Linked DNA regions of Canis lupus familiaris. The protein of the gene in region 2 purifies or fractionates together with the protein of the main gene of each other region. This does not show direct contact. Links are inferred from orthologs where the notes say so. Each region holds a gene or a part of one and is shown on either strand. Other genes may lie near its edges.

Region 1 (12,169 bases), on a different chromosome or scaffold from region 2:
ATAAGACTCTCTTGCTTCCACGAGACTCGTGTGTACACACTTCCAGGGATGGAGGTCAAGAGGATCAAAGCGGCAGGGTGTCAACTGCCACGTAATGCCAGGGTGGTGTCCAGGAAGGCTTCACCCTCCAGGAGCCAAGTCAGGGTGGGTGTTGGGCGGCTGTGGTGGCGGCAGGGCAGGAAGGCCTCCATCTCAGGGACCTCCAGGGACCTCTAGGTGAGCGAGCCCCATGTGTTCACAGCGGACCTTCCTGGCTCCCTCACCACTGCCCTCCGCAGTCTACACTATCACTTCCTACACACATCACCTGCGCTTTACATTACAAAACTATCATTTTTACTGTAACTTTTTTTAACAAAGATGAGAAAAATCAAACAGACCCTACAAACCATGTGCAGTTCTACTTTCCAGAAGCAGCGGCTCCTGTAAGGGGCTCCTCACCCCTTACAGATGCCCCCCCCCCAACTCCCACAAGGCCATCCTCACCTCAGGGGCCAGGGCTGCCCGCCAGTCCAGATGGACCTGGACTATACAAGTGGCTTTAACACCTGGCTCCCCGCTCTCAGGCCTCCATAACACCCCTACGCAACGAAGCGAGAAGCTTCCAGAAGCTGTGCTCCACTCTAGCATGACTCTCCTGGCTTCCTCCAGCACTAACAGGGCTGGGGGCATGAGGGCCAGCAGTTTCACATGTGCTCACCCTCGTCCCATGCTCTCCACCTAGAGAACGGGGACTGGGCTGCCCCCACCCTCGAGCGGCCAGGAGCAGCCACTTGCTGTCAGCAGCTCATCTCGGGGGCAACCACAGGGTGTGGCTGGTGGTGCCACTGGTCCAAGTGAAGGGAGCCTCCACTTCTGAGGACTCTGCTAACCTTCCCTGCAGCTGGGACCCATGGGGAAGGAAGGATTTCCATTCTCGAGGACAGAAACAGTGGTGCATGGGGTGGGTGCAGAGCCTTGAGACGCCCGCTCATTCTGATGACCTGGGAGGGGAGGTGACTATCGCTCCCCACGTTTCAAGGTGTGAGAACATCCTTACATAAGTCTCTCCACTTTTAAAGGCTAGGGAAGAGCAAGCTTCAGTAAGGAGAACTGCAACTCTGTGGCTCGCTTGTTTTGTTTAAAACTTACCTTTATCAAACTTTCACTTAATTCTGATATTTCCACCATAACGACCGGGGGCGGGGGGGGCGCACAGCAAGGATCATCTGCTAACACAATCTATAAGCAGCGGTAGTTTCAAAGGTATGACGTGTATGACTCTTCAAATCAGTTCCCTCCAACCATTTACCATTTCTCGGTGCTTATAACTCGTACCCGTGGAAGTCACTACCTCTACGGGACTAATGCTTACTTCCCAACCCCGGCTTAACCCTTCCCTGCAAATACATAACAGCACCAGCCGAGCAGCCTGAAACCACAACATGCAACCTGTCAAACGTCATTCAGATTTTTGTTTTATGAAGTCACCCTGTTGACAGCAGTTTTACCCCAAAAGCCATATTAGGAGTTCTCTACTGAAGCTACTGAAACAGAAGCCGCACGGCAACAAGCACCGGTGGACAGACAGAGGGCAGATGGTGGACAGATACAACCAGGTGACGTGGGCCTGCCTGGTTCTAGTCGGACAACCAGTCAGTGGGCTGCATGGGAGGGAGCCAGTGCATGGGGTGTCTCATGTGAGGCTGCAAGAGTCAAAATAAGCAAGCCAAGTCCTTTGACCCTCACTGGGGCTGCAAGAAACCGTATTTTCATTGAGTTCCCATTTTGGGCACTGGCCCCAAGGAATTGCAAGGCATGGAGGGAGGGACGGTGAACTCCAGAACCAGTGGGACATGCTACACATTTTATCTTTCTGAAATTAGTTCTATTTTTGTGAAACAGCCAAGTGGCCTTCAAATTCAGCTCCCGCAAGTGAGTATCAGCTGGCACAAATAAATGTCCTGTTCTATAAATAGCCTGAGGGACCGAGATAACTTTTCTGAGAAAGCCCCAGGGCTGATGTGAGGGCAGTGGCCCTCGTAAGACTCAGCAATTCTCTTCCGTTCGTTTTACTAAAGCCCTAGAGTCAAAGTCAACTCCTGAGAGAACTTTCTCGTACTAATGTGTTCAAATGTGAAACTGTAACTACTACTGTATGTGAAGGTAGAACCACCAAAATCATCCCTGACTCCCTCTGCCCTTCCAGGTCTCAAGGAATGGTCAATGGCTCCGAGCCGTGTGACTCCCTCTACGGCCGATGGCAGGGCTTCCAGGGAGGCTGAGCCAGGTCCCCCAGCCCAGGATGTGCAGGGCCTGTCTACCCAGGCCTCAACCTGGGTGCAGGGCCTCTGCTGCATCTCCTGCCCGGGCATCACCTGCCCTCGTGGGATGGACAGCGGACACCTCGTCATCAACTATTAGCCATTTCAGTGACTTTATCTGCCAGCCACTGGACTCGCTGAGAGCCTAGAAAGGTTGCTGAATGCATCTATAACATGAGGGGTCACCCGCCAACCCTGGCTGCTTCCTAGTTCATCATGAGTTCACAAATCCCCAAATCTTTATCATTTAGCAAAGAGTTGCCTTGGTATCATTGGGTTTTTGTTTTGTTTTTTTTAAATTTATGCTTTTCTCTGTAACTGTTGTTCTTGGGTCTCAACCACACATTACAATGACTCGTGGGCAGCCACTTTATCAGGCGAGCGATCAGGCACTGGGAGCAGACCGCCGCAGGACCTACCATCGCCAGCTGCCGTCCTATGTTGCCCACGGTGACACCTCCTGAGAAGAAGATACACGGCAGCCAGGAGCGGATGTAGAGAAAGTCTGGGGACGTGTATCTGCAGAGAAAGCAGAGGAAACGGTACCTAATCAGTCAGCCTCCCCGAGCCTGGCTGGCCTCTGGGGGAGAGTCCACCAGTGGGGAGACGCACGATGCGCAGCAGCCACAATGGGCCGCAGGACAGTCCCGTCTCACCGCTGAGCTTACTGCCACTGCTTCACCTCCCTACGGTTAAGTTATGGGTGGTACATTTTTTTTTTTAATTTTTTTAAATTTTTTTTATTTATTTATGATAGTCACACACAGAGAGAGAAGCAGAGACATAGGCAGAGGGAGAAGCAGGCTCCATACACCGGGAGCCCGACATGGGATTCGATCCCGGGTCTCCTGGATCGCGCCCTGGGCCAAAGGCAGGCGCCAAACCGCTGCGCCACCCAGGGATCCCTGGGTGGTACATTTTTAACATAGGAATCAACAGTAAGTATTTTTGAGAATTTCATGCCTAAGTCAACATCATGTATGTATTAAAAAAAAATATGGCATCTCAGCTTAGTGGGCGTTTTTAATAAAAGTGAAGTCATAGCTTCTAGGTGACGTAGATATGCTAGAGAACATACTTACTGATAGACACCATTGTACACCAGCAGCTGAGTGATCAGAGTGGCCAGGAAGGCAATAGTGATCCCAAGCCCAAGGCCACTTCTTGAACGGTCAAATGTCCACCAGAGGCCCAAAGACAGGGCTGCTAACGTCAAGGAGAGCTGGACGTTATTGGCAAAATCCAATTTCTGGTGATGCAAGGTTAAGGACAAGTCCAGTGATTTTTAAGATGCTCAAAATAAGCCAAAGGAAAAAACTAACAGAACAAGCAAACAAAGCAACTCAGATCCTATACATGTTGTCATTATTATGTACCACATAAGTCTCCATCTAAAAAACCCTCCCCAAGAACAGGGACCCTTGGCCTCCTCTCACTGGGCCACAGAAGCCAGGTCTTCTTAATGGAAGATTATGAGGGTGAAACGTAAAAGAATTTATAAAACCAATTCCAAGGAACCAGGAGCTACTGTCTGACAAAACAGAAAGTCCACTCTGCTTCTCGTATTATTTCAACAGTTTCCTGAACTATTCTGAAAACTCTATACACCAAGCAATATGCTTTAAAATAAGATAGTTGGAAGAAGATCATTCCACTAACCTATGAGATAATATATACTCGTTAGAAGTAAAAAAGTGCTTCAACATATGACCTAAGGAAATGCCCTGGACGTAGCACATCCTCTGAAGGATACAGCACTGGCGTGGTTGATGCCAACAAACACAGCCACACAGCGCATCACGCTGGCCCACTCTCTCTTAAACTTGTGTGGTTCTCCCAGGTGACTGTCGATGCAGGGGTACAGCAAGCCCACCACAGCTGCCAAAGAAAACAACATAAGTCAGCTCTATGAGAACACACATGAGAACACGCCAGCTCTATGACAACAGGACTTCTAAGTGCGATTAACAGATTATTCAAACCAGTTCTTTTCCTAGAAAACATATATGCTATAACACAGCATTTGAATTAAGTCTAATTTTTGTTGGTCTTTTTTTTTGTTTCGTCTTCCTTGACTACAAACAAAAGGATCACACTGTTTTTGAAAAATTGCTGTTCTTCAGTTTAATTAGACACAGAACTCAATCAGGTGGGGGGGGGGGGTTAATTATCCATATAATGCTGTGACCAGTCAGCCATGCTGAGCCACCCCTGTGAGTCCAGGTCCTGACCTGTGGGAACAGCCTGGGACCAGGCCCAGGGAACCAGGCCCCTGGTTCACTGTGGGCTCTGATGGGACCTGGATCCTCATGTTTGTTTCCTCATGTGTAAAATGACAAGGGTTATGTAAGCAGAAGGCGGAGTAGGAAGAGTTAGGGAGTTTTCACAGGCACAGATTTTTAAAGGAGAGAGGACACAGAGAACTTAGACAGGGGGAGGGTGTGGCACTCAGGGACATAGTAAAGGCAGGAACAAACAGGGTGCCTGGAGGCTGCTGGGGATCCAGGCCCACGGGACCAACTGTGGGACATGGGGCTCAGCACTTAAAGATGCCAAGTGCAGAGGCTTGAAAGCCAAGGAGCAGTTCCACCTGCTATCCTAGGAAAGGAGTAACTAGTTCAGGTTCCTGGACAAATAAGGGACACAGTTCTGGTGAAAATAATCAATGAAACTGAGAGTTTCAGTTTCAATTTTGTCTTACAGTTTATCAAATTCTAATTTTAAGAGTTTTGAAAACTGAAACCCAAACAATTCTATAACTTATTTAGCTATAACTTAATCTTACCTTTTAAGGTTAAAGGGTAAAGAGGCACAACCGTACTGAAGAATTTTGCCCTATGCTTATCTGGTAATTTTTTTTTTTTTTTTTTTAAGGAAGGTATGAGAAACTGAGAGAGTGCAGAATTCCTTGACGCTTCAATTGCAAATAAAACCTAACCTAAAATATTTCCTTTTTAAGACCGAATTTTTGATTCAGAGAAAGAACTACTGTACCAAATGTGCATGAAAGATGGGATCTGCTCTAGGTAACTTTCTCAAAAAGGATTTTTAATAGGATAGCTGTATGATTAAAGGATTTAGAAAGGCAAAGTAGGATCCTACCTTTCTAAGAACGGAGATGAAGGCACTGTACCCACTGAGTGGGTGCTCTACCCCCACCCCTCACCCGGCAGTGACTGACGTGCCCTGGCCAGAACATAGCTTCCACTCCCAGCCCTGTGCCATCCAGCTGTTCTCAGCCAGTCTGCTGCAAAGAGGATGTGTCTCCACAGTGTAGGGGACACACCCAGACTCCAGGGAGGCAGTTTGCAGAGTTATGCACAGCGGTCTGCCGTTTACTGTGTCCCCTTAGACAGGGATGCTTAAAGTCTCTGCACCCAGTTTCCACATCTGTGAAATGGAGCCATCACAGAGTACTGTTGTAAGGAGTGAACAGGCTTAAGTTGTAAGCACGTAAAACCCACGGCAGGCAACCCATCAAGGCTGGACACACAGCCCACAGCGCGGCACCCCCGCGACGGCTGTCCCACTTGGGTACACCTGTGCTCTGCCCAGCAGAGCGTGGCTCCCCGAGGGCAGGGGCCGAGGGCTGGGGCCCGCCCCGCCCGTTCTCTACTCCCGCAGCTGGCAGCTGGCGAGGCTGCAGGAAACGCCTGACACGGCGCGTATGCACGAAGGCTGCGCCGCTAGAGAAGCGCTAGGCGGTCTTCCGAGCCAAGCCGAGATCCACCACGCGTGGGCACGGGAGCAGAACAAGTCCCCCAGGAGTCAGCGGCCCCTGCGCACGGAGTCAGCGGGCGGCACCCCGCGGCACCCCGCGGCCCGCCGGGCGTCCCCTCCGCCCCGCCCCGCCCCCGCCCGGCGGGGCGCACGTGACGGTTTGTTTTCGGTGGCCGGCGGGTAGCGTGTTCGCGCGCCGGGCCAATGGCAGCGCCGCCGTGCCGCTCACCAGTTCGCCCGCCGCCAATCCGGGGTGCGCTCAGCCCGGGGACGGCGGCGGGCTCGGCGCGCGCGGCCCCCGGGCCAGGTCGGCGGGAGGCCGGCCCGGCGGCCCCGAGCAGCGCCCCCGAGCGGCGCCCCCACCCCCGCTGCACTCACCGGCCGCCGTCCCGCAGCACGGCGGGACCCACCAGGCCGACGAGAAGATGGTGGCGATGACCTCCTCGGGGAACAGCGTGACGTTCCGCTGCACCTGCAGCAGGTTGAGCACCAGGGCCAGCACGACCCCCACCGAGAACAGCACCAGGCTCCGTCGCACCAGGTGGTGGTGCCAGCTGCCCGGGGAGCCGCCGCCAGCGCCGCGAGCCCCCCCCGCCCCGGGGCTGCGAGGCCCGTGAGCGGGCGCGGGGTCCGGGCCGCGGCGGGCCGCCAGCGCCGCGGGGCTGAGCATGTCTCCCACTTTAGCCGCCAGCCCTCCGGCCCCGGCCACCGGGAGGCCTCGGTGCCTGGCGCCCTGGGCGCACGAACAGCTCCAGCAGTGGTCGTCCAGCCGGGGCATCGGTCACCGGGGCGCGCCGGCGCTCCTGCAGGGAGAGGGGCGGGGCCCCGTCACGCTCGCGGGCGAGGGGAGCTGGGGAGCTGGGGAGCTGGGGAGCTGGGGAGCCGGGCCCGGGCGGCGTCGGGCGGAGGGCGAGGTGCGGGCCTCGCGGCTCGCGCGGGAAGCCGGGGCTCCGGGCGCCCGCAGACGGCACGGCCCGCGCCCAGGTCCCGCCGGGTGCCCGCTGGGTGGCGCGGGGCTGCGGGCGGCGGCGGCGGCGGCCAGGCGTCTGGGACCGGCTGCCAGCACCGAGCGGCCCCGGTGCCCTCCGCACGCGCCTCCAGCGCTGGCCCGTCCGGCCCCAAAGTTTCCCACACGCCGTCCGCGCGCAGCGCAAGTTACCCGGGCCCGGGGCAGGGGGGGGCCGAGCCGACCCGCGGGGGTCAGGCGTGCAGCTCCGCCCCGGGGCCGGGCCCGGGTCCCCGCGGCTCCCGGGGGTGGGTGGGGGCGCCCGGACCGCCCCAGGCCCCGCGCCCCCGGCTCCCGCCCCGAGCTCGGCCCCGGAGTCTCCCACGCTCCCCGCGTACCTGTCCGGGGGGGCGCCCGCGCGCGGGCTCGGGGGGGAAGAGGTCGCGGCCGGGACCGCCTGGAGTTGGGCCCGTGGCGCGGGGCGCGCGGCGCGGCTTATAAGGCGGGCGGTGGGGCCCGGGTCACGTGACCCCGCCCGGCCCGCCGTCGGGGGGCGTGGCCTCCGCGCGCCCCGCCCCGCCCGCGCGCCCGTCCGCTCGCGGTCTGGTGAGGCGGCGGTGGCCAATCGGAGGCGGGCGGCCCATATGACGTCAGCACACGCCACCGCCACCTCGCGCCCGGCGCTGGCTCGGGAGCGCGGACGGCCGGCGGGTGGACTGCGGGGCGGCGGGGCGGGTGGACGGCGGCGGGGCGGCGGGGAGCTGGGGGCCGGCGGGCCCGGAGGGGAGGGGAGGGGAGGGGAGGGGAGGGGAGAGCGGGCGGCGGGTCCTCCCCGGACGTGGCGCACGGTGGCGTCCCCTGCTAACCGGCCTCTGCACCGCGCCGGCAGCAGGTGATCGCGCTGCACCTGCCGCGTCACCTGACGCTGCCCCTGTTGTGCCCAAGACCGCGCATCCGAGAAACCGCCGAGGAGCCGACGCCGCTGCAAGTACATGAGGGTTTATTTGCAAGCTGGAGCTTGGGTCCAAGTGTACCCGACACAGCGGAGCAGGGGCTCGGACCCCGAGGCTAAGAAGCACAGCAGTGTTGCAGGGGTCCGTGCCCAGGGAGATTGTAACACACAGAAAGTTGCACAGTCATGTCGGTGCGCACGCAGGTGGCCGATTGAATTACGATTCGCCCTATAGTGACCATTTGGACTAGCCTATTATTCTGGTTAGAGTTGGCGCGCAGGTTCGGCGGCAGAAGACGGGGTTTTCATTCTTTGGCGGTTAAAAGTCAGAGGTCCCGCATTCCTAGGTGTGCTGGTTCCTGATAAGGGTGTGCTTAATAGCTAAACTGGGGTGAGGGAGTGCCTTAAACAACAGGCAGGTCGTGTGGGGGGTTTTACATGAGGTGGCGGGTGCAGCACAAAATGGAGTTAGTCCTGCTCTGCTTGTCCAGGGGTAGGGCATTAACGTCAGATTTCCTGGGTCCCACAGCCCCTACCTCTCCTGTCTGGCCCGCTTCTGCAGAGCCTGACGGTCCCCACACCTGCTCCCTGGCCTAGGTGGGTGGATGCCCCGCACGAAGCCCGGCGCGGAGATGGAGCTGTCGGCGGGTGTGTGCTTCCCGGCGGCCTAGAGGGGTCCAGAAGCCCTTCTTAGACATGAAATCTTTGATGAAAATGCAGATGATGCACTTTTCATTCCTGCAGTGACTTCTCCCACGTTCACGTTGCCTTTCCTTATTTACGGAAAGCAAACCATCACACGTACTGCAGAAAAACAGAAAATGTAAACTCTTATTAAACTTTACTCTTCAAAAGCAGATTGCTTTACCTCGTTGATGTGTAATGTGTTTCGACCCTGTTTCCCACATGTGTCACACCGTGCCCCGTGCTAATCTCACATCTTGTTGAGCAAGATGGTATTAAGATGTTCCTCAACAGTAGCGGGGGAAGAGTCCGTGGTCTTCTGTAGTGTCCCCCATCAGCAGAGATTGAGAGGAAGTTGGGACTTAGAGCAGATCCTCTGGTGGCTGAGAGACCCCGGGGGCTGAGGCAGCATGAAATCCCATTGCACGTGGCAACTTCAGTATCAGGGTTTGTGACTCGGTGCCAGAAGCTTTAAAAAAATGGAGACAGCCTCCTGAGATACTCATATTTTTCAAAGTTCCTTTTTTTTGTTGGGTGGGGAGATGGGAGGGGAGGGTTCACATGATTTTTTCAATGATGAAACAGGAAACTTCAGGAAAAAGTAGTCTTACAGTGGCTGTGTTCCCACTCCGTGACTTTAAGGGGTGTTTCATTAAAGTTTTGAGAAGCACAGCGTAAAGACACTTGCCATCCATTAATTAGCTTGTTACTATTGCATCAGCGTCCATGGTGGGTTTTCTGCTACTGCTAACTTATAGGCCAGACACAGCCTGGTTATGGTGTAAACACCCTACAGCCAGTCCATCATGCCAACCCAGTGTGAACGTAACCTACTAATCTTTTCTACCTCCATGAGAGCCTAAGTTTTTAACAAGTTTCTTCATCATGAACTATGACAAAAGTGTTTTCAAACACTCCTGCATAATCAAGACTTATAATTTGCTAATAATGTCACTTGTTTGCATTTCTTGGGCACGACCCAAAGTGGAAGTGGGTGGGAAGGAGGGGTTCCGTCCTCACGTCTCTCTGTGAGAAGGGCAGAAGCTGGCTTTCACACTCTGTGTATCCCTCTCTAAACCCTGATCACCACTATAAACCTTGCTCCCAGAAGTTCAAAGCGCTCTTGACTTCATGGCATAGTGTCATGTGGGTCTTGGCCATTTTCTCCACGCATCTACTGTAAGTGCACACCGTTGTAACATTGGAACTTTGTAAAAGCAAAAACATGAAAAGCTGCCCAACTGTTCACTGATAGGAGATCGTCTGGCTCAATGACGGCACACGTATCCAAGGGACGCTATGTAATCACGTCACTGCCGGCTCAGCCATCAGCAGCCAGTGTTCTCTCTCCCTTCCCCTGCCATCAGCCTGCAGTGTCATATGCAGGTGGAGAAGCACTTCTTTCAATCAAGGTGTGAATCTTGTGGACGTGGATCTGCATCAGCCTCGGCCCTGAAATGTCGGCATGTCATGGACTCAATCAGGAAAGACTAGTAAATGCAGGGAGCTTCTCACCAGCTTTCAAAAACTGGTCCATTCAGGTATATGAGGCCCAAGAGCAGGGGGGACTGCTCTTCACTTACCTGCCAAGCTGCTGTGTAGGTGGATTCCTTACAGCACTGAAATTAGCATATCTGTCTTCTGGGATCTAAGATGTGTTAGGTTTTCTTTATGTTTTTTTCTCTTGCCATTTTGCCTGGCCATGCAGACTACTCCAGTGTCGCTTTTAGTGTAATACCCTTATGTACAAGTACAAACCTTATGAAAATACATATTTTTAAAAAGATTTACTTATCTATTTGAGAGAGAGTGTGTGTGCAAGTGGTGCAGGGAGAGGGAGTGGGAGAGAGAATCTCAAGCAGACTCCACTCTCAGGACCAAGCCCGAGGTGGGGCTGGATCTCACGACCCTGAGATCATGACCTGAGCTGAAACTGAGAGTCGAACACTCAACTCACTGAGCATCCCAGGCGCCCCTCATGAGAATATTTTATAGGTTTCTGTGTTGTCTGTCTCCTGTGTGGAAACGGACTCTCCATTCCATGAGCTTATTGGTGTGTTAAGGTCTGTTCATGTGCCTATTTCTCTCCCTGCCCCAGCTGCTGGCCACACAGTCCAGCCTCTGACCCCTCATTCCCTCACATCTGTCCTGGGACTTTGTGAATCAGGAGCCCTCCGGGAGCCGCTTCGAGGCCCAGGGAGCCTGTGGGAAGTGGGAGGGCTGCCTGCGGACTGTGTTCTGTTGGGTCCTTGCTGAGGGCTGTGGATGTGGCCTCAGTACTGCTGCCCCACGGCCTGTGGTTTGCTCCAATGCCGGTGGAATCTGGTCCCACGAATGAAGTTAGGCTAGGGGAATGGCAATGGAAGAATGTGAGTGTACATTGTGAGGCTTGCAAACCACAGGCTTGGTTTCAGAAACAATATTCAAATATTTTGAGAATTTGCAACTCCATTATCCCCAGTGACGTTGTTATTGTTGCAGCTTCTCTAATACATAAGGGCTCTCTGTCCCCCCCCCAGCCCCAGTCAGTTACTCAGAGTTAAGTATTTAGGGAAATGTGTTCAGGAGAGCATTTAGTTCTTAATTACTTCATTTTATGTTAATCATTCATTATAGATGGGCCATCATGCAAGGAAAGTTTACTGTTGGTAATGGACCAAATGCTGTGACGTACTTTCTTCCCAAATCACTAACTCAGGACCCAAGACCTCTGTAGCTCTCTAGACACAGAAGACTCAAGAGAGGAAGGGAAGAGCCAGGTGTCTAAGACCTTTGAGAGGTCTTGCAGTGAGTGCCTATAGTCTGTATTCCTACTATTGTGTTTTTTTACACATTAATAACCATTTATAATAAATATTTTTAAGAATAGGGTAGAAGGCTAAGTATATTGTTTTTAATAGAAGAACATCACATGCTCGTTTCATTCAGAAAATATGAAAGAATATATTTTATTTTAGTATTTTTTAATTAAAAGATTTTATTTTTTGAGAGAGAGAGAGAAAGAGAGAGAGAGGAGGAACAGAGGGAGAAGGATAGGCAGATTCCCTGCTGAGTATGGAGCCTGACATGGGGTTCAACCCCATGACCCTGGGATCATGACCTGAGCTGAAACCAGTCAGAGGCACAACCGACTGATCCGCCCAGACGCCTCAGGAATATATTTTTAAAACCCATAATCCCAGTGACCAGAAATAATGTAATATTTCGGGGTGTGTACTTCCACATTTTTTTCCTGTGCATAAGTGTGTGTTTGTGTTTAAAACAACTAAGTAAGATCATACTTCACATATAATGGAACCAGACCTTCAGAGATAATGAGTAGCTCTCCAAGTCAATCAGTATAGATTAGGTCATCGTTTTTAAACAGCTTTATTAAGATACAATTTACTAACCGTGCAGTTTCCCCATTTAAAGTGTACAATTCCATGGCTTTGGTATATTCACAGATGTGTGCAATCATCACCACAGTCAATCCTAGAACATCTTCATCAACCCAGAAAGAAACTCAGGCTTTAGCTGTCCTTTCCCTCCCCACCCTCCACCCCATCTTCCAGCTTCCGCTCC
Region 2 (12,304 bases):
GCTTCTTCCTCTGTGAATTGCCAATTTATCTTTTATCCACTTATCTATGGAGTTGTTTTTCCTTCTTGAATTTTAGACATTTAAAAATATTCTGACTACAAATTCTTTGTCAGTTACCTATAGTGCAAATATCTTCACCAGGTATGTGGCTGATCTTTTCACATTTCTGATACTGCCTTTTGATTAACAAAGGTTTTTAATTTTAATACTAGTAGATTTATCAATCTTTATATTACTTTTACATACATGTATTTTTAGAGGGGGTGAGGAGCAGTGGGAAAGGAAGAGAGAATTTTAATCAGGCTCCACACCCAGCACAGAGCCCGATGTGGGGCTCAACCTCACAACCCTGAGATCATGACCTGAACCAAAATCAAGAGTCAGAGGCTTAAGCAACTGAGCCACCCAGGCACCCTAACTTCCATATATGTTTAAAGAATTTCTCACTTATTCTAGGGTTAAAAAAAAAACCCTCTGTAATACTTCTATATTTTCTTCTAGAAATTTTAAAGTTCTGCTTTTCACATTTAGGTATTAACCCACTTAGAATTGTCTATATATTGATGTGAGGTAGGGAATCCAGCATAATTTTTTCCATATACTGAATGACCAATACCTGAATAATCTGTATTTACCTCAATGGATGTACTTCGATTCTACCTCTGAAACAAAGTAAGTTTCTCTATATACATGGGTGCTCTGTTTCTGGGCTTTCCATTCTGTGCTATTGGTCTATTTGTCCATTTCAGTGATTCCTAACCAGGATCAGATTTTTTACCAACCCAACCTCCCCACCCCCACACCAGGCATTTGGCACTATCTAAATACCTAGACAGGGGCAGCCCGGGTGGCTCAGCGGTTTGGCGCCACCTTACGCCCAGGATGTGATCCAGGGAACCTGCGATAACGTGTCAGGCTCCCTGCATGGAGCCTGCTTCTCCCTCTGCCTGTGTCTCTGCCTCTCTCTCTCTCTGTGTCTCTCATGAATGAATAAATAAAACCTTTAAAAAAATAATAAATAAATACCTAGAGACATTTTTAGCAATCACAAAAAGGGGAAGAGGGTATGTAACGGGTATGTAATGGGTAGAAGGACACTGCTAAAATTCCTACAATTCACAGAACAGCACCCCCCCCACCTCCCCCCAAAATTACCCAGTCTAAAATGTCAATAGTGTTGCTGTCGAGAAATTCCTAATCTATCCCTATCGTGTCAAAATTACTACTGCTGCAATGTTTTCTCACTTCAAAGGTTTTCTGAGTTCCTTCTACAGCACCAAATATCGCTCTCATTCTTTTCAAAACCTTTATTGTACGTCTAAACCTAGCACAAAGAACAGATTCCCTTTTAATAAATACTTAGATTAACAATTTATTTTGTTATTACCAACAATGCTTCAACAAAAATCCTTTCCCATAGTCTTTGAACAAGTACAACTATGTCTTTAGGTCAAATTCTCAGAATTGGAATTGTGAGTCAAAAGGTGTATGCTGAGTTTTAGTTAGGCAGTACCAAATGCCTTTACAAAGAAGTGACAGCATACCAAAACTGTCTAACTTTACTCATTTCCCCACACCTTTGACAAACAAGTTTTTATTTGATCTAACTCTTCACTAATCTGATAACTGAAATTTTGTTCTTACTGCATTTTTTAAAATTATGAGTATTTTTCTTTTGCTTATTGACCATCTGCATTCATTTATTGGGAACTACTTATCCTGGGCCCATTTTTCTCTGGGAGTATAAGGTTTTCTTAATGACAGAGTAAAACTTATTCAATCTCATACAATGCGAATAGTATCCTCAGTTTGTCATTTTTAGAATTGTTTTAAAAAAGTTTTATCATAAAAGTTTTTCATTTTTTATGTATTCAAATGTATCGAATTTTCCCTTGCAATTTTGGGATTTTATTGTATATTTATTTATTTTTCTTGTATATTTAAAAAGGCCTTTCCACTTCAATGAATTACCATTACATGTAAAACAAACTCCTATGCTTGCATTTTCTGCCTTAGATTTGTTAATTCAGCATTATGCTGCACTGGGTTGCATTTCATTTAGCACTTAACACCTCCTAAGAATAGCTTAATATGCTTAAATACTTTATATATTGTGATTGGATTTTATTTAGATCTCCAAATGAGATGCTTTATATTCTCTCATCTGCTGAAATTCTCCTAGTATTTTGATACCAAAGGTGCTGTGGTAGTACTTTTTTGTAGGGGAAGGGAAATTCTTCAGAGACTAGATATAAAATTGGTAATGCTTCCATTTTTACAATTTCATTTTACAGAAAAAGGTGAGACTGACAAGTTTTGAGATTTATATATAGTAATACTGAAACGTCTACAATTATTTAAAAAAAACCTAATCAGGTGTAGAATAATTTCAACTATCCTTTGGCACCTATTACACACAAATCCATCACTTTCAGTAACATAAGCTGCCTCATTGACTGGACCTCAAATACTGAAGATGTGTTTTTATTCAGGGTGAATTTCAGCAAAAAACTAGTTTTTAAGAATTTTGTCATTCTTGGGGTGCCCAGGTGGCATAGTCAGTTAAGCGTCTGATTCTTAGTTTCAGCTCAGGTCATGATCTCAGGGTCCTGAAACAGAGCCCCATGGGCAGGGTCTGCCCTCAGTGGGGAGTCTACTTGGGATTCTCTACCTCTCCTGCTTATGCTCTTTCTCTAAAATACATAAATCTTTTTTTTTTTTTTTAAGAATTTTATTCTCACAAATGTGAAAAATTAGCAAACTATAGTGGCATAAGGTAAGGAGCGATCTGGAAAATATTTTGTATTTCTCACAAAGCGTAAACAGAAAACTCTGGGAACAAAGCACCAAAATTATACTGATGCCTTCAAAAGACCAAAATATCTGTAAACAGTATGGTCTTAATTGAAGTACAGGAATATTTCTTTAAAAGTTATCAGGCTTATTAATAGCTAATACTTAGTAGACTTTACTAGGTCCCAAATACTGCTCTATGAGCTTACATCCTAACTATTATCCGTAACATCCTATGACAGACCATTATTGCCCACCTTTAAAAATGTAAAGATAAGAAACAGGAGGTACAGAGCAGTTAACTTGCCTGAGGTCACATTCTACTTTAACTTGTCGAATACGAACTTCCATGATTTACTACAAATACCAAAATTACTGTTCAGTGTTCTTAAATACATATGATTTAATTGACTACTCCCTTTTCCTTAAAGCTCAACTCTAAGAGCCCTGCATTAAAGACCTGGTCACAAAGAGACTGTCAGAGGATATGCAGTCACAGGCCAAAAGCATATTCAAGGCAGTGGCTACACATTTGCCAAGTGAATACATGAATCCTCTCAAACACAGCAGTTTTGTTTTTCGGGTTTTGTTGCTGTATCATGACCTCCTCTCAAAACAGAAGTGAGGAAAGTCATCCTCCGACCCTTTTGTCTTTGTTATACTTGATTAGTTTCCAAAGCAGCACTTGGGTTATCCCAAAATGACAAAGTTCCCTAGAAGTCTGTTAGCTTCTGTTCTCTCTCTAGCAAGCTCTCTCTCATCCCATGGGGTTGAGGAATAAAAATAATATTTTTTTTCTTCATTTCTCTCCATACCAAGAATTGGCATAGATCTAGCTTGCATACATATCATCTCCTAATGTGGGTAGGTATGGCGGGGAAAGAGGGCTGGCAGTTCATCCGCCTCAGCTGGAATACTTAAGTAACTATACTGAGATTAGCCTGTTAATTTATGATCATGATGAGTGGTTTCTAATTGGCAAAAATAAAATGCCTTCCCAACAGGTCCCCTTTATTAATTTCACTTTAATGTTATTTTACTGAAATCACTTTTACCCATGACTATCAGAGTTAACCAAAAATATATTGAGTATGAAATATTAAAACTAGTGAATGCGTTAAGCTGAGGTATAACTGACATAACATTCGTTTCAGGTGTAAAACATGATTTCGTATTTGTATATACTGTGAAATCACACAGGCCCACTTTTGCCACAAATAATGAGGGCATTACACTTTTGCAGTGGTAAGTGGGAATGACTGGGATTAAGCAGCTAGTGGTTCCTGAGAAGTCTGGTGCTAAGATCATCATTTTCACATCTGTTAGTTTAAAGATCTAGTATAGGATCATTACTATACCATTCTGTATCTGGATAGCAGCTGTATGGAGGAGGAAAGTGAACCACCCTTGATGTCAGAAGCTTTGTAAGCCCAGGCTCTGACAACCACTTAATTGCTGTATATTAAAGCAAAACACACTTGACCTCTATAGCTCTCAGTTTCCTCATTTTAAAAACGAGAACAACACAATCCACCTCTGAGGGATGTTTAAAGTTTAGGTTAGTGAAAATGTTTTACAAAGGTAAAGTACCAAACAAACTGCCAATAACAAAATTCTTTTTTTTTTTTTTTTTTTTGAGGAATAAAGAAGCAACAGATGGCTCCTAATTCAGAAAGGCCTGGTTAGGATCTCATCATCAACCCTTCCTCAGCAACGCTTCAAAATCACAAGCCTCCTAAACACCGATCACAAGAATTCCCTCATCAACAAAATTTGCCAAGTTTCAATTACTTTAAAAAATTCTTGTATGCATAAATGCTTCTCACTCTGGTAATGCAAGGGTAGATGGGGAGTGAAACGTAAGAGATTTTTAACACTCCATTCATGTGCAACAAAGACACTGATTTTCAGAACTCTTCCCTTGGAAAAGTCTCATCACTTTCTAGCCACGTTTTTATAACCACTTTTCGGTACCTCTCTATTCATGGAAAATTTCAGGACTCGTTACAGGCATCGCCTCCTTCACGAGCGTTTCTAGTAATGGTTTCGAGGCAGGACATTCAAAACCCGGACTCTTTCGCGTGGATGTCATTTACCACGGACACGCCACGATCACGTGGACCTCGTGGATACAGAAGTGACAACACACCAGTACTCCGCATTTGGGGAAAGGGGGAAACTGAGGCCCAGGCCCTGGCACTACAAGCCCAAGGTCACAGGCGGCGAGACCCGGGGCAAACGGCTGCTGTTTTCCTCAGGCGGCCGGCGCCCGTTCCCCAGGAGAAACAGCAGGCGAAGCGCCGCAGGCTCGCACATCCGCGCGCTCTCCTCACCCTCGGGCGCAAACACCAACAGAGGGCTGACTCTAGGAGGACGCTCGGCTGTCAGCTCCGAGACAAGTGTCATCTCCTCCCTCCTCCCAACCTGCAAAGACGCCCCTATTGGCGAAAAAAACCGCTGGTCCTCGAACGCCCGTACACACGCTCCCCACAGGCTGCGCGCGGAGCCCGTTCCCCGCAGCACGCCGCGGCCCTCACAGCCGTCCCGGGACGCGAGCTACGCCGCCGCCCTCACCGAGGAGCCGGAGGACGATCTGGAGCCCGATGCAGAACCGGCTTTGGCTGGAATCGTAGTAGGAGTTGAAGATGGCGTCGATGATGTAGAGGCACGGCACCCGGAGCGCCACCTCGAGCGCCGCCCAGACCTGCTGATGGGCCATCCGCACCTGCTGCTGCGGGGGCCCCACCGCCGCCATGAGCCGCTGCCACACCGGGGCTGGGCGAGCCGGGCAGGGCCGCGCGGGGCAGGGCCCGGGGCCGCGGCCGGGGGCGGGGGCTACGGCGGGTGACTCCGCCCCTGCCCTCCCTCCTCGCGGCTCTCCCTCGCGGCCCGCCCCGCCGCCCGCTCGCGTCCCTCGAGCTGGAGCAGGCGGCGGAGGCGGCAGCGGCGGAGGTAGCGGCGGCGGCTCCCGGGAGGCCTCTGGGTGTCGGTGTTTCCGGCTGGCTAAGGTCTGGCTCCTCCTCCCTCCAACACCTCCCCCGCCCGCGGAGCCACCATCTTGACCTCGCCCGCCTGCCTCTGCCGTTGCTGCTGTTTGGAGGCCTGGAGGCTGCGCCCGCGGTCACGCGAGACCGCGGAGCCCGCGCCACTGATTGCATCATAATCCCGCGCTGGGGGCGCTCCCCACACCGTCATCACGCACGGCGTAGCCATCGTCTCGCGCGTTGCCATGGTTTCCGCCCGCCTTCGAGGCTTTGGCGCCACCTCACGGCGCAGGCGCTCTCGGGCCGCCGCGCCTTCTTGACAGAGTGGCTTCCTTACTGGAGGCGGAGGCGGCGCTGGCTCTGCGAGGGACTCCCTGCTTGCGTGGGCGGGAATTATTAGCTGTTTTATTCTGGTCCATTAAACGTCCCGGAAGCGTTCAGAGCTGCTTGGGAGGAGGGAAGCGAAGGGCGCCGCCCGCCGGACCTGCCGCACCTCGCGCGGGGGCGGGGGCTGGGAGGCGGCCGCCCGGGGTCCCGCAGGAGCGTCTCGGGGCGCGCGGGGGGCGGCGGCCGCGCCACGTGGCGCCGGGTGGGTGCGGCCGCGCTGCCGGAAGAGCCGCCCTGTCCGCCCTGCGCCGCCGGGCAGAACCGAGGACGCTGGCGGGCCGCGGTGTGCTAACGTCGGGGCCTCTGACTGAGCGCCTCGTCCTCGTGTCTGGTCTGAGGTGAGCGCACCCAGGCCGCCGCTCTCCTGCGCAGGTTTCTGTCGGGACCAGCATATGCCACCCGCGCCACCTGACGCAAGGGGTACTTTGAACTGAAGGTAGTCGAGAAACAGCAGCAGCTTTAAAACAAATAATTTTTTTTTTTTTTTTAAGATCCCGGCCTGCTCTCCTGACAGTCGTCTGAAAAGTAGGCCGTAAGTTTCCATTTGTAAAGGGGTCTCCTCCTGCCTTTCGAAGAACAAGGCACCTCTTAGACTGTCTCCCACGAGCCTTCTCTTCCATCAGTTTCCCCCATGTTTAAACTTACCGTGAGTTTGCGACCCCTGAAAGCCTAGACCCCTTTTTCTTTTGTCACTACTCTACACAATTATTATTTTTTTAAAGATCTTATTTATTTATTTATTTATTTATTTAAGGGAGTGGGGAGAGAGTGAGCAGGGGAAGGGGCAGAGGGGACGTTGAGAATTCACGCTGACTCTGCACTGAGCAAGGGGCTTGACCTCATGACCCTGGAGATCAGGACTTGAGCTGAAATCAAGTCAGATGCTAATGTCTAGACTGACCCACACAGGCGCCCCCCCAAATTATTTACTTTTTTGAGAGAGCACATACAGGAGCAGGGGTGAGAGGCAGAGGGAGAATCAGGAACACCCCACGCTCGGACTCCACCCCAGGACCCTGGGACCATGACCTGAGCCGAAGGCAGATGCTTAAGGACTGAGTCACCCAGGCGCCCCCCGCACACCATATTATTCTTTTGTTAAGATAATATATAAGCCCCAAATCGTATATATATAAGGCCCCCCCTTTGAGTCATCTTCACTGTCTCCCGTGGGCATGTGCACTCAGGAGTTAATAAACTGTTTTTCTCTTGTTAATTTCTTGTTTGTGAATTTAATTTCCAGGGCCCCAGCCACAGGACTTAAGACCAGGAAAGAAGAGGTCTTTTTTCCTCCCCTGTACTTTCTTGCCTACCCATGTAACTAACATAATTTGGCCATCCTTACTTTTCTTTCCTTCAGCAGCAAATGAGTGTAAATTAGGTCAGAGTCTGCTTTACTAACCTGGCCATCTTAAGGAGGTAAAACAGGAAGAAGAAGGATCCTGACTCATTCAGGCTCCTAGCCCAAACTGCACTCTGCTGTCCTTTTCATGTCAGGGACCTATATGGGTGATCATCCTATACTAGTTAAAAACCCTCCAGAGGGGAGGATTATAAAACTCCCAACTGTCTCTGGGTGGAGTTACGTGTGGTAGGATGATTGACTCACAAACTTCTTGCTCAGTGTCATGTTTTTAACCTTTTGTTGTTATTCCCCACTAATAACGACTGCCATCTATCTGGTGCTTACTTTGTGCCAGGCACCATGCATTATGCTTCACTCTCTGCCATCAGAGAGGGTAGGTATTATCTGTTTCAGAGAGAAGGAAGCTGAGGCTTACATAGGTCATCAAAATTACAAAGTACATATATAAGTAGTAAGCTAGTGTGACCATAGCTAGTAAGAGTAGAACCCAGGGCTGGGATCTCTGGGTGGCTCAGCGGTTAAGCATCTGCCTTCGGCTCCGGGCGTGATCCTGGAATCTCGGGATCGAGTCCCATGTCGGGCTCCCTGTATGGAGCCTGCTTCTCCCTCTGCCTGTGTCTCTGCCTCTGTGTGTCTCTCATGAATAAATTAAAAAAAAAAAAAAAAAAGAACCCAGGGCTATCTGAAGCTTAGAACTTCAAGCATCTTCCTCTTCTCACCCACAGCCAGTCTGCTACACATTGCACCCATTCTTTCCTCAGTCTTTTGTACCTGTCTGCTTTCTATTGTCACTGCCACTATCAACCCAAGATCCTACTGTAGCTTGCCTGACTAACTGCAATATCCTCATTGTGATTATTATGATCACCGTTTTTCCTACTTTAGTCTGTTTACCTCTGCCAGGTTAATTTTCCCAAATTACACATCTGGGGAATAAACTCATGGTGCTGACAAAATTCCCAAAGGAAAGCAAACTCGGTAAGATGAGAGGACTATTAAGGTTTATTTATATAGAAAACCTCAGAGACGTAAATTAGCTTCTCACCTCACCTGTTTTTCTGCCCTGATGGCAATTTAAAGCAAAAAGAAGCTGTTACAGAGAAGAGTCCACAAGGATTAATCTAAAACAGGAATGTGGTAGAGAAGGCTAGGCGAGTACCATTATGTTAGGATTATGTAAAATGGAGAATAAAATAGTTCATGGGTTTTCCTCAGATTTTTATTTTAAAAGTTAAATGTAGTAAATAGTAAATAAAAATCTTGTAAAAATGCTTCGGCCCTTATTGTTTTAATGGTTTCTTAAATGGCACAAATTTTATTAGTATAGAAGTTTTTTTAAGATTTTATTTATTTATTCATGAAGGACACCGAGAGAGAGGCAGAGATACAGTCAGAGGGAGAAGCAGGCTCCACGCAGGGAGCTGGATGTGGGACTTGATCCTGGGACTCTGGGATCATGCCCTGAGGCAAAGGCAGACGCTCAACCGCTGAGCCACCCAGGCATCCCAGTATAGAATTTTTTTTTTTAAATATTTTATCTACTTGAGAAAGCAAGGGGTGGAGGGGAACAGAGAGAGAGGAAGCAGACTCCCCGGCTGAGCAGGGAGCCTGACTTGGGGCTCGATCCCAGGCCCCTGGGACCATGAACCCAGCCAAAGGCAAACACTTAAACCAACTGAGCCACTCAGGTGCCCCCTTAGTGTAAGAATTTGTAATTCAAACTAAATACCATTTGGGCCAAGAACTTTCAGGAGTGGTGGTAATAGTCATCTTTATCTCACATGGTAAAGCACTCTAGAGCTGACTTTCCCCATCTATAAAATGAAGGTTTAGTAAGACCCTGGCAAAGTACTTCAAAATACTACCTTAAAACTAAATGTATATTACTGAGATGGATTTTAGAAAGCTTAGGAATATTAAAACATAAGCTTTCAAAAGATTTTACCTACTCCAGGGGTGCTTTTACATTTGGCATCTCAAAGCCTTTATTTCTAAGTTCAGTTTCATCATGTCTGAGTTTCTCCAGTTGCCTGTTTACATGTTTTTGTTTTGTTTTCTTTTTAGAGAGGGAGAGAAAAAGAGAGGGGCAGAGGCAGAGAATCTTAAGCAGGCTACATGCCCAGCAGGGAGGCCCAATACGGGGCTTGATCCCATGCCCCTGAGATCATGACCTGAGCCAAAATCAAGAATCGGATGTGTAACCGACTGAGCCACCCAGGCGCCCCTGCCTGCTTATATTTTATGGGTCCGGTTAAGTTAGGAGAAATAGTCACCTGCAAGTAAAGATGAAGGGATGCCCTTTCTGTACTAAAAATCCTGTACTACCAAAAAGTTGGTGATTACCATACCACTCGATAGATGCTATGATTGGAACAGGGGAACAATGAGGAAAAACTCAGAGGAATCGTTTTTTTACAAAAGGAACTTACTAGCTATGGGTTGCTTAGCTTTGCAAGAGGTTTTCTCAATTTTATATCAGGAAATGTCTGTGTTAGTCATCTTCTCAACAGAAGCTAAATTCCTAAAAAGCATAATCGCTCCATAGCACCCACCACAATGAAAAAAAAAATTAAATAAGCTTCAGAAACAGCTGCAATTCACTGAATTTAATCTTTGCTTGGCTTCTACATTGATGAGTGTGGCACAACTCAGGTACATATTCATATTGAATCTATACAGAGCAGTGTGAACGGTGTGTGTGTATTCATACAGATACACTCTATATACATAAATTACCTGTGTTTAAGAATAACAATCTGTTCATTTGGCTTTAATGGCTGAATGCCTTTTAGTAGTTCTAAAAAGCCTTTGGAAGTAAGATGTGTGAAAACTTATCTGAATTTTCTATTGATCTTTGCATTTACCAAGTCTTTGTTCCACACAGCAGCAAATGATTCTGAGCTATCTTAAGTAAAAAAGGTATTAGAGAATTATTTTCATTATTTTTCAAGTTTCAAGAGTGATATGCAATTGGTGAAGCTTATTGTACCATGTATCTTCCATAGCTGTACCAGAAGGCAGGTGCAGGCAGCTTCCTTAGTGGGAGAAAGCAATAGGAAACAAGGACTTAGAACCACCCACCCCACCCTCTTCCCCACCAATGAATTATGTATTTACTTCAAATGGAAGAAGAGAATGCTAGTAGGAAGGACTGGAACTGATAGCTCAAAAAGAAATAAATATGTTCCATAACTTTTTCTCACACCTTGGAAATTACTTAAAAAAATAATTTCTGGCCTGAAATTACCTGATGGTTTTTCTCACTTCATTAAATTTCAGATATGCCCATCAAAATTCAGCTTCTACTTGAGTTTTCTGGTTTTGTAAATGCAATATGAATTGGAAGAGTCTGTTGTTCAGTTAACAAAAGAAACAACAGAGAACACTGTGACATTTGGAATCCATGTTAAGTATATACTGACTACTTTGGTTCATTCATTCATGTAACAGACATTTACTGAGCACTTTCTATGTGCTTGGCAGTATGCTTGCCCACTTCTGCTTCTTGCTAGTTCTCTGTCTCTAGACAGAGTACTTAAACTCTAATAATCAGAATCCTCACCTGGGAAAAAGAAAAAAAAAGGTTAATATTGCCAGATAAGATATGAAATCTATAGCATGCATTATCCAGTTTAATCTCAAAAAACCTGTTGAAAGTAACAGTAACAGTGGCAGAGCCAAGTTTCTAATTGGTATTTTTCTGATTCCAGAGCCTATCTGGTCCTCTGCAAGTGATTTTTCATGTTGGTTACACAAATTAAAACAATATATTTTAAGTACTTAGTATAATATACAGTATGTAATAGTAATTAGTATGGTGAACAAATTTTAGGAGAAATACTGGAACCCTTACAATACTACATACAACACTTTGCAATGCTTCCATGTATGGCTCAGGACTACTGTTAAGATATTATTTGTTAGTTTGGGTTGTTTTATGTGAAAGTCACATTTGTAGTACTTAATTTATATTAGAATGTAAATAGGTGATAGGTTCAAATATGTCAATCATGTAAAGAGATGGTCAAGTATAATCTGAGGGCCAAGATACTGCTGACAGGCAGAGTATAAGCAATACTAAGTTAGAAACATCTGCTGAGGCAGGGAGCCCAAAGAAGATGGATAAGACCCTTCTCCCTAGATGGAATCCTGTAGTCCGGGCTTCTAATAATCACTTCTTATTCCAGAGCTGCTCCCAACTGAGTAGAGTAAGAGCTTCAAGACCCAATATTGTAAAGATTTCAATTTTACCCTATAGATTCAATGTAATCCCAGTAAAAAATATCAACAGGTTCTTTTCCCCCAAAAAAACGACAAGCTGATTTTAAAAGTTCTAAGAAAATGCAAAAGGTCAAGAATAACTAAAGTAATCTTAAAGAGCAAAGTTGAAGGACATACAGTCTCAGATATCAAGACCTGTTGTAAAGCTATAGTAATTTAGACAAGATGGTATAATTGGTGCTTGGAGAGAATAGCTGACTATGGAACAAGAAAGTCTAGAAACAGCCCCACGTATATGGTCACCTGATTTATGATAAAAGTGACACTACAGTGCAGTGGAAAAGGATAAAAATGAAGCAATATAATGGGTCTAACAAAGGCTGCCCATCATTTAGTGGTGAATCACGCTGGAAGCATTCTCCCTATAGTTAAGAACAATTTAACTTGTATTAGAGTGGAGGGCAGGAGTAGGGCATGTCATAATGCCAGAAGCTTCCCTTTTTAATCAAGATTTAGCAGGTTGTTTTTTTTTTTTTTAAGATTTTATTTATTT

The links.
Region 1: the proteins of RNF139 (region 2) and INSIG1 purify together in Homo sapiens (affinity purification with western blotting, with the first as the bait; 3 studies listed by BioGRID). This does not show direct contact. The link is inferred for Canis lupus familiaris from reciprocal best matches to the Homo sapiens genes RNF139 and INSIG1.

Annotation. Positions count from the first base shown.
Region 1 is NC_049237.1:18,988,194-19,000,362, reverse strand, and holds the start of INSIG1 (insulin-induced gene 1 protein), read right to left. Parts: upstream 7,439-12,169; 5' UTR 7,368-7,438; intron 6,827-7,367; 5' UTR 6,802-6,826; coding exon 6,402-6,801; intron 4,182-6,401; coding exon 4,057-4,181; intron 3,553-4,056; coding exon 3,386-3,552; intron 2,823-3,385; coding exon 2,723-2,822; intron 1-2,722. UniProt on the Homo sapiens protein: Oxysterol-binding protein that mediates feedback control of cholesterol synthesis by controlling both endoplasmic reticulum to Golgi transport of SCAP and degradation of HMGCR.
Region 2 is NC_049234.1:22,968,402-22,980,705, reverse strand, and holds the start of RNF139 (E3 ubiquitin-protein ligase RNF139), read right to left. Parts: upstream 5,590-12,304; 5' UTR 5,549-5,589; coding exon 5,368-5,548; intron 4,707-5,367; exon of another isoform or gene 4,628-4,706; coding exon of another isoform or gene 4,433-4,627; intron 1-4,432. Other genes in the region: putative deoxyribonuclease TATDN1, read left to right, coding at 4,441-4,627. UniProt on the Homo sapiens protein: E3-ubiquitin ligase; acts as a negative regulator of cell proliferation through mechanisms involving G2/M arrest and cell death.